Macaca fascicularis: one gene and its partner. The protein of the gene in region 1 interacts with the protein of each later gene in a biochemical or structural test. Links are inferred from orthologs where the notes say so. Each region holds a gene or a part of one and is shown on either strand. Other genes may lie near its edges. The genes, in order: MARK3 and KSR1.

What was found.
Region 2: of the proteins of MARK3 (region 1) and KSR1, one has a biochemical effect on the other in vitro, tested with the Homo sapiens proteins (2 studies listed by BioGRID). The link is inferred for Macaca fascicularis from reciprocal best matches to the Homo sapiens genes MARK3 and KSR1.

Annotation. Positions count from the first base shown.
Region 1 is NC_088381.1:171,635,318-171,639,134, forward strand, and holds part of MARK3 (MAP/microtubule affinity-regulating kinase 3), read left to right. Parts: intron 1-1,524; coding exon 1,525-1,761; intron 1,762-1,940; coding exon 1,941-2,060; intron 2,061-2,312; coding exon 2,313-2,412; intron 2,413-3,027; coding exon 3,028-3,140; intron 3,141-3,817. UniProt on the Homo sapiens protein: Serine/threonine-protein kinase. Involved in the specific phosphorylation of microtubule-associated proteins for MAP2 and MAP4. Phosphorylates the microtubule-associated protein MAPT/TAU. Phosphorylates CDC25C on 'Ser-216'.
Region 2 is NC_088390.1:33,049,090-33,052,906, forward strand, and holds part of KSR1 (kinase suppressor of Ras 1), read left to right. Parts: coding exon 1-414; intron 415-595; coding exon 596-600; intron 601-3,295; exon of another isoform or gene 3,296-3,314; intron 3,315-3,550; exon of another isoform or gene 3,551-3,817.

The DNA of each region.
Region 1 (3,817 bases):
GGTGAAACGCCATCTCTACTAAAAATACAAAAAGAAATTAGTCGGGCATGGTGGCGGGCGCCTGTAGTCCCAGCTACTCTGGAGACTGAGGCAGGAGAATGGCGTGAACCCGGGAAGCCGAGCTTGCAGTGAGCCGAGATCGTGCCACTGCACTCCAGCCTGGGCGACAGAGCGAGACTCCGTCTCAAAAAAAAATAAAATAAAGTGACTGTGATTTGTCTCTCTCTTTTTTTTTTTTTTTTTTTTGAGGCAGAGTCTCGCTCTGTCGCCCTGGCTGGAGTGCAGTGGTGCAATCTCAGCTCACTGCAACCTCCACCTCCCACGTTCAAGCGATTCTCCTGCCTCAACCTCTCAAGTAGCTGGGATTACAGGTGCCCACCACCACACCTGGCTAATTTTTTGTATTTTTGGTAGAGATGAGGCTTCACCATGTTGGCCAGACTGGTCTCGAACTCCTGACCTCAGGTGATCCACCCGCCTCAGCTTCCAGAAGTGCTGTGATTACAGGCGTGAGCCACCGCACTCAGCCGTGATTTGACTCTTGAATGAGGTTTGGGATTCTCCCCTCCTCATTAACAGCCATTTTATAGCTATTCAGCAGTTTTTATGAAATGCCCCTTTTTTAAAAAAGTTATGTATTTTTTGAGACAGGGTTTTACTCTGTCACCCAGGCTGGAGTGCAGTGGCACAATCATAGCTCATTGCAGCCTCAAACTCCCAGGCTTAAGAGATCCTCCCACATAAGCCTTCCAAGTAGCTGGGATTACAGACGTGTGCCACCATACCCAGCTAATTTTATTTTATTTTTTTTTTGTAGAGAAGGGGTCTCACTATATTGCCCAAGGTGGTCTCGAACTCCTGGGCCCAAGTGAGCCACTTGTACCTGGCCCTGCCCCTACCCCTGCCCCATATTATTCTTGTTTTTTGTTTTTGAGATGGAGTATCACTCTGTCGCCCAGGCTGGAGTGCAGTGGCACGATCTCAGCTCACTGCAACCTCCCCCTCCCGGGTTCAAGCAGTTCTCCTGCCTCAGCCTCCTGAGTAGCTGGGATTACAGGTGTGTACCACCATGCCCAGCTGATTTTTGTATTTTTAGTAAAGACAGGGTTTCACCATGTTGACTAGGCTGGTCTCAAACTCCTGGCCTCAGATGATTCGGCCACCTCGGCCTCCCAAAGTGCTGGGATTATAGGTATGAGCCACCGTGCCCGGCCCCCATATTATTATTATTATTATTATTATTATTATTAATTGAAAAAAAATTGTCAAGATTTTTCTTGATCTTGGAACATTGATGTTTAAATTAGTGCTAGAATTAATCTATACTTCATGTTTATTATTGTTAGTTATAAAATAAGGAGCTCTAACTTGTCTCCTGTTTTTGTCTGTAGAAAGAATGTTTTCACATTAATTAGGAGGTAACTTTATATCATTACAGAAAACTTTTCTGAAATGCCTAATCCTGTCGTAATTCTAATTCTATTTTGGTTAAATTTCATTTTTGTCTTCATGTTTTCCCTCTAGGCTGAAAATCTATTGTTAGATGCCGATATGAACATTAAAATAGCAGATTTCGGTTTTAGCAATGAATTTACCGTTGGCAGTAAACTCGACACGTTTTGTGGCAGTCCTCCATACGCAGCACCTGAGCTCTTCCAGGGCAAGAAATACGACGGGCCAGAAGTGGATGTATGGAGTCTGGGGGTCATTTTATACACACTAGTCAGTGGCTCACTTCCCTTTGATGGGCAAAACCTAAAGGTATAAGAAGCTGCACCCATGTACTTCACTAAACTAAAAGAAGTTTCCAAATATTGTATGGCTTAATATTTTTTAACATTGTATCAGTGGAGGGGTTTCAGGGGGTTTTTTGTGGTGCTTTGTTAACTAAACCTAAAAGGTTGACTTACTTGTTTTCTTTCCTCTCTACCTCCCCAAAGGAACTGAGAGAGAGAGTATTAAGAGGGAAATACAGAATTCCCTTCTACATGTCTACAGACTGTGAAAACCTTCTCAAACGTTTCCTGGTGCTAAATCCAATTAAACGCGGCACTCTAGAGGTAATCATGTAGGTGGAAACAAGCAACAACTTTGGAGAGTCTTTAGAGTGGCCTTAGGTCTTTGCTTGATTTGTATGCCCTACTGGATACATCCTGCGGCTTCTTAAGGAAGAATTAAAACATTAAAAAAAATATTTTTGAGTTTATGTTTTGAACGATAGTCAATGAAATGTTGAAAATAAATTTTTGTAAATATTATGGTTGTCAGAATATTTCATTTTACTCTGCTAATGAACAGTTTACCTTTTTTAGCAAATCATGAAGGACAGGTGGATCAATGCAGGGCATGAAGAAGATGAACTGAAACCATTCGTTGAACCAGAGCTAGACATCTCAGACCAAAAAAGAATAGGTAATGACTCCATGCCTGCATGTTCATGTGTAGTTGTCTAAGTAACACATTTCTGTTTTGACTCATGTCTGTGCCTAAAATGTGAATAATGGAAAGTTAAGCACAAGTTATATGAACAGTTTATCTGTTCTGTCATATTTAGGAACGTAACTACCTGTAGTTTCCAGTAACTCTGAAACAAGTGCCCATTTATGTTAGAAAATGTATGTAATATGTCATCTTTTAGGTCAAATGAAAATTACTTTACCCTATAAAAGAATGATTTCTGGCTGGGCACAGTGGCTCATGCCTGTAATCCCAGCACTTTGGGAGGCCGACGTGGGCAGATCACCTGAGGTCAGGAGGTCGAGACCAGCCTGACCAACATGCAGAAACCCCATCTCTACTAAAAATACAAAATTAGCCGAGTGTGGTGGCGCATGCCTGTAATCCCAGCTACTTGGGAGGCTGAGGCAGGAGAATTGCTTGAATCTGGGAGGTGGAGGTTGCGGTGAGCCGAAATCACGCCATTGCACTCCATCCTGGGCAACAAGAGCAAAACTCTGTCTCAAAAAAAAAAAAAAGGATGATTTCTTACCCAAACAAAACACAAACTGTATTATGCCTTTCTTTTAGATATTATGGTGGGAATGGGATATTCACAAGAAGAAATTCAAGAATCTCTTAGTAAAATGAAATATGATGAAATCACAGCTACATATTTGTTACTGGGGAGAAAATCTTCAGAGGTAAGAGTGATCAGAGAGAAAGAGCTGAAATACCCTTTATGTAATTATTAGTTTATATAAACTGTTTTCTTAGTTTTTATCTTTTGAATATTTGTAACATTTGATACATCATTTTTTAGCTTTACCTGCAAATAGCAAATCTAAATCCTCTGACTATTATAAGCTATTTTAACTTAACCCTTAATGATGGATATTGACCAGGTGTGGTGGCTCACACCTGTAATCCCAGCACTTTGGGAGACCAAGGTGGACAGATCACTTGAGACCAGGAGTTCGAGACCAGACTGGCCAACATAGGGAAACTCTGTCTCTGCTAAAACAAACAAACAAACAAACAAACAAACAAACAGAAAATTAGCCGGATGTGTTGGCGCATACCTGTAATCCCAGCTACTTGGGAGGCTGGGGCAAGAGAACCACTTGACCCTGAGAGGCAGAGGTTGCGGTGAGCCAAGATCGCACCACTGCACTACAGCCTGGGTGACAGAGTGAGACTATGTCTCAAAAAAAAAAAAAAGATGGATATTATCATAAACCTGGTCTTTCATAAATTAACCTATAGTCATTAATAGCTTAGAAATGACGTAAAGCATCAGATGAAGTAAATAGAGCATTTAAAGTTAAATTTGAGAAAGCCTGGGAAGAAAATCACACATACATTACCTTTAATGTCTTTC
Region 2 (3,817 bases), on another chromosome or scaffold:
GCGGGAAAGTGGCTCGGGGCCTTCCACGGACACTCTCTCACCAGCCAGCCTGCCCTGGCCCCTGGGGAGCTCCCAGCTGGGCAGAGCAGGCAACAGTGCCCAGGGCCCACGCTCCATCTCCGTGTCAGGTCTGCCTGCCTCAGACTCCCCCACCCCCAGCTTCAGTGAGGGCCTCTCGGATACCTGTATTCCCCTGCATGCCAGTGGCCGGCTGACCCCGCGTGCCCTGCACAGCTTCATCACCCCGCCCACCACACCCCAGCTGCGACGGCACACCAAGCTGAAGCCACCGCGGACGCCCCCCCCACCCAGCCGCAAGGTCTTCCAGCTGCTGCCCAGCTTCCCCACGCTCACCCGGAGTAAGTCCCACGAGTCTCAGCTGGGGAACCGCATTGACGAGGTCTCCTCGATGAGGTGAGTGCTCCTTCTGGGCAGCTACCAAAAGTGCCCTCTGTGGTTTTCTAATTATAAAGATACATGGAAGGACCAATACAATCAACCCCTATAGAAGCATGTAAAGTCAAAAGTAAAAGGTACCCCCATCTTTCAGTCCATTCCTCAGACTGCTTCAGCGGTGTGGCCTGAATCCTTCTAGATTTGGTTCTGTATGTACACGTGCGTGCACATGACGTGATGCCACGTATGGGTCAGGGTAGGCCGGGTTACACGGAAATAACAGATATCCCCAAATTGCCAGGTCTTAAAGGAACAAAGATTTGTTTCTTGCTCATGCCGCCTTGTCCATCTTGTCCATCATGGGTCAGCCTCCTTCCGGGCCCAGACTGTCTGAGCATTGCTGGCCACGGTGGCAGGGGGAAAAGTGAGTTCCAGATGTCATGCCCTGGCAGTTGAGTACTCTTTCTTGGAAGTTCCACTCACCATTCCTGGCCCAACCTGAACAGGAGAATGAAACTGTGCTCTTTGCCCACACGCCCAAGAGGAGAGAACTGGAATATTTGGTGGAAACCACTAGTGACTATCAGATACCATACCATCTACTCTGTCCCATGACTTGTTTTTTCAACTTCCCTTGGTATCTCTGGGAACATCATGTCAGTACATCTTGGAATATTTTACTCTTTTGTTTAGTTTTTGACTTAAAAGTTTTTTCTATCTATGGATTTTGAACAAGTGAGACAGTCACACGATCCAAAGTGCAGCAGCTCTGTGGCTTCTCAGGGTACGCGGTGAAAACTCTACCCCACCATTTTTATTCAGTCACGTGGTTCCCCTTTCAGGAGCCAACCAGGCTAGCAGTTTTGTGTATGTCTATAATTATTTAAACCCCATTTGTTTGACTTGTTCATATTATTTCATTGTATAGTTTATCTTGTCCCCTTCTTGATGGGCATTAGATTATAGTCTTTTTTTATTACAAAGATTGCCCTTGTCAATATACCCTTGTGGACAGCACAGAAAGAAAGGGAGAGTTCTCCTTGGGTGCCTCTTACCTTCTTGTACCCCGAGGATTGGGGCACCTGGTTTCTCTCCTCAGCCTGGGCACCACTTTTCTACACTTGATCTTAGCCAAAAGGTAAAGAAGCGACAAGGGCACCCATTTTCTAGGGGGTTCCTTGGGCTCTGGTGTATCTTGGGCCTTGGAGTCATCTTTGGAATGGGCCTGATCCCCTCTCCCAGTGCATGCTGTTCAGGTCCTTTATGGGATGGAGCCTGGACAGCTCCAATGGGTTTGAGTGTGCCACCCAAGGAGGAGAGATCCAGGTGTCACTGACCCTGCTGTTCCCTCTTGGGCTGTCCTGCTGGGGCCTGGGTCCCACCCAGAAGGGGCTGTAGAATGCAGTGATGATGACCACACGAACATGGGTCAGAGGACATCTCACAGTGGGCTCAACCCAGTCCCTCTGTTTCTGTCTTCTCCCAAGAAGAACATTAGGAAAGCTCTGGTCTCATTCGCATGCTGGAAGGTGGCAGGGACACAGCCTCAGGCAGATGATACAACTAGCCTCAAACTCCAGCCAGTGACTGAGCCTCAGACCCTGGGATTCTGAGTCCAGTCCCTGCAGAGTTACCAGAACCAGCACTGACGTGACGCTCAGGCCACCTCGCTGTTCTGGTGACCCCTGAGTGCTCTGTTTCCTCCAGCTCCATGTGTTCTTGGGGGCAGTGGCAGCCCCCTGGGGAGGCTCAGGGTGTGTCCCTGCGTGACTCTCCTTTCAGGGGCTACCTCTGCTCTGCATGGCTGTTATCTCTGCCTTCCTGTCCAGCCACACCCTCTCCAACTGATAATTTTTTTTTTCTTTTTCTGAGAAGGAGTCTCGCTCTGCTGCCCAGGCTGGAGTGCAGTGGTGCAATCTCAGCTCACTGCAACCTCCGCCTCCCGGGTTCAAGCGATTCTCATGCCTCAGCCTCCTGAGTACCTGGGATTATAGGCATGCGTCACCACACCTGGCTAATTTTTGTATTTTTAATAGACACAAGGTTTCATCACATTGGCCAGGCTGGTCTTGAATTCCTGACCTAGGTGATCCACTTGTGTCGGCTTCTCAAAGTGCTGGGATTACAGGCATGAGCCACCAGGCCTGGTCTCTCCAGCTGATTTACCCCTTTTCTTGCCTGGCTCTGGGCCAGGCTCTCCCACTGTGAGCCATGTGACCTACTCAGCCAGCCCCCTGAGGCTCAGTTTTCTTGGCTGTGAAATGGGCTGAACTCTAATTACCATGCTTGGTTGCTGGCGAGGCTTATGTAAGCTAATGTATTAAAGTGCACAGCACTGAGTTTCAATGTCCCCTGGGGAGGCCCGGGGAATGCCCTTCTAGTCCTTTCCATTGAGGAAATGTCCCCACAGAGATTGCAGGGGTTCCCACAGTCACTCAGCCACAGCCTGGCCTCAAGCCAGGCCTCAAAGTCCTGCATCCCAGCCCCTTGCCTGCTCCCGCCCAAAGGTAATGTTCTAGGAACGCGCCGAGCCAGCATGGTGACGTAATCCCCCTCTCTGCTTTTTGTCTCCTCTAGGTTTGGTAAGAGCGATTCATTTCCATCCCCTCTACCACCTGGGAGTCGTGTGTGCGTTGCTGTCGCCATCGGGGGTGGACCTCTTTGACCACCCTCTTAGCCCATTCGGCCTCTCCATAGTCCAGAAGCAGAGGTGCTGGTGACCGCCTCAGGAAATAACCCTAAGACAGGTGGCCTTAAAGTGACTGGCTGGCTTCAGCCTAGCTGGCAGCTGTTCTCTGAGAAGCAGAGACCTTGAGCGCATCTCGGCCCATGGGCAGCCCCATGAAGAGCCCTGTCTCCACCTTGCCCTTGCCCACCGAGACTCTCCAGCAGGGACTCTGGCCTGCTGGGCTGCCATGGTAAAGCACTGCCCCCGGGAAGGCGGTGCCATCTGCCTGGTTTCAGTGGACTTTAGCCATCCCCAGAACCCCACCTGATGTCCCGGGACCCCACTCTTCAGGAGAGGGACATTCCTGGAGGCAGAAATGCAGCACAACTCTGAATGACGCCCCAAAAGATGGGAGGTGCAGATGCCCCTTTGGGATGGGAGGACACATGGGCAACCCTTGACCCCCTTTCCCACCCCCACCTCCAGGTTGGGAGCACGTTCCTGCACGTGGCTGTGCTGTGGGGCCTCGCTCATGAGTCAGAGTGGAGGGAGACAGCTGTGCCTCTGGAGTCTGCTTTTAATTGTCTGGAAATGCAGAGATGTCTGGTTTTTGCCTGAGCAAAATAGGAGTTTATTTTTGTACTATCCCGAGCTGGCTAGGAGAGTCACGTAGCTGTGGGCGGGGTCTTGGGAATGAGGAGGGGTGCAGCATGCAGGAACTATGCTGAGGTGGAGCTGGCTGCAGGAACCCCA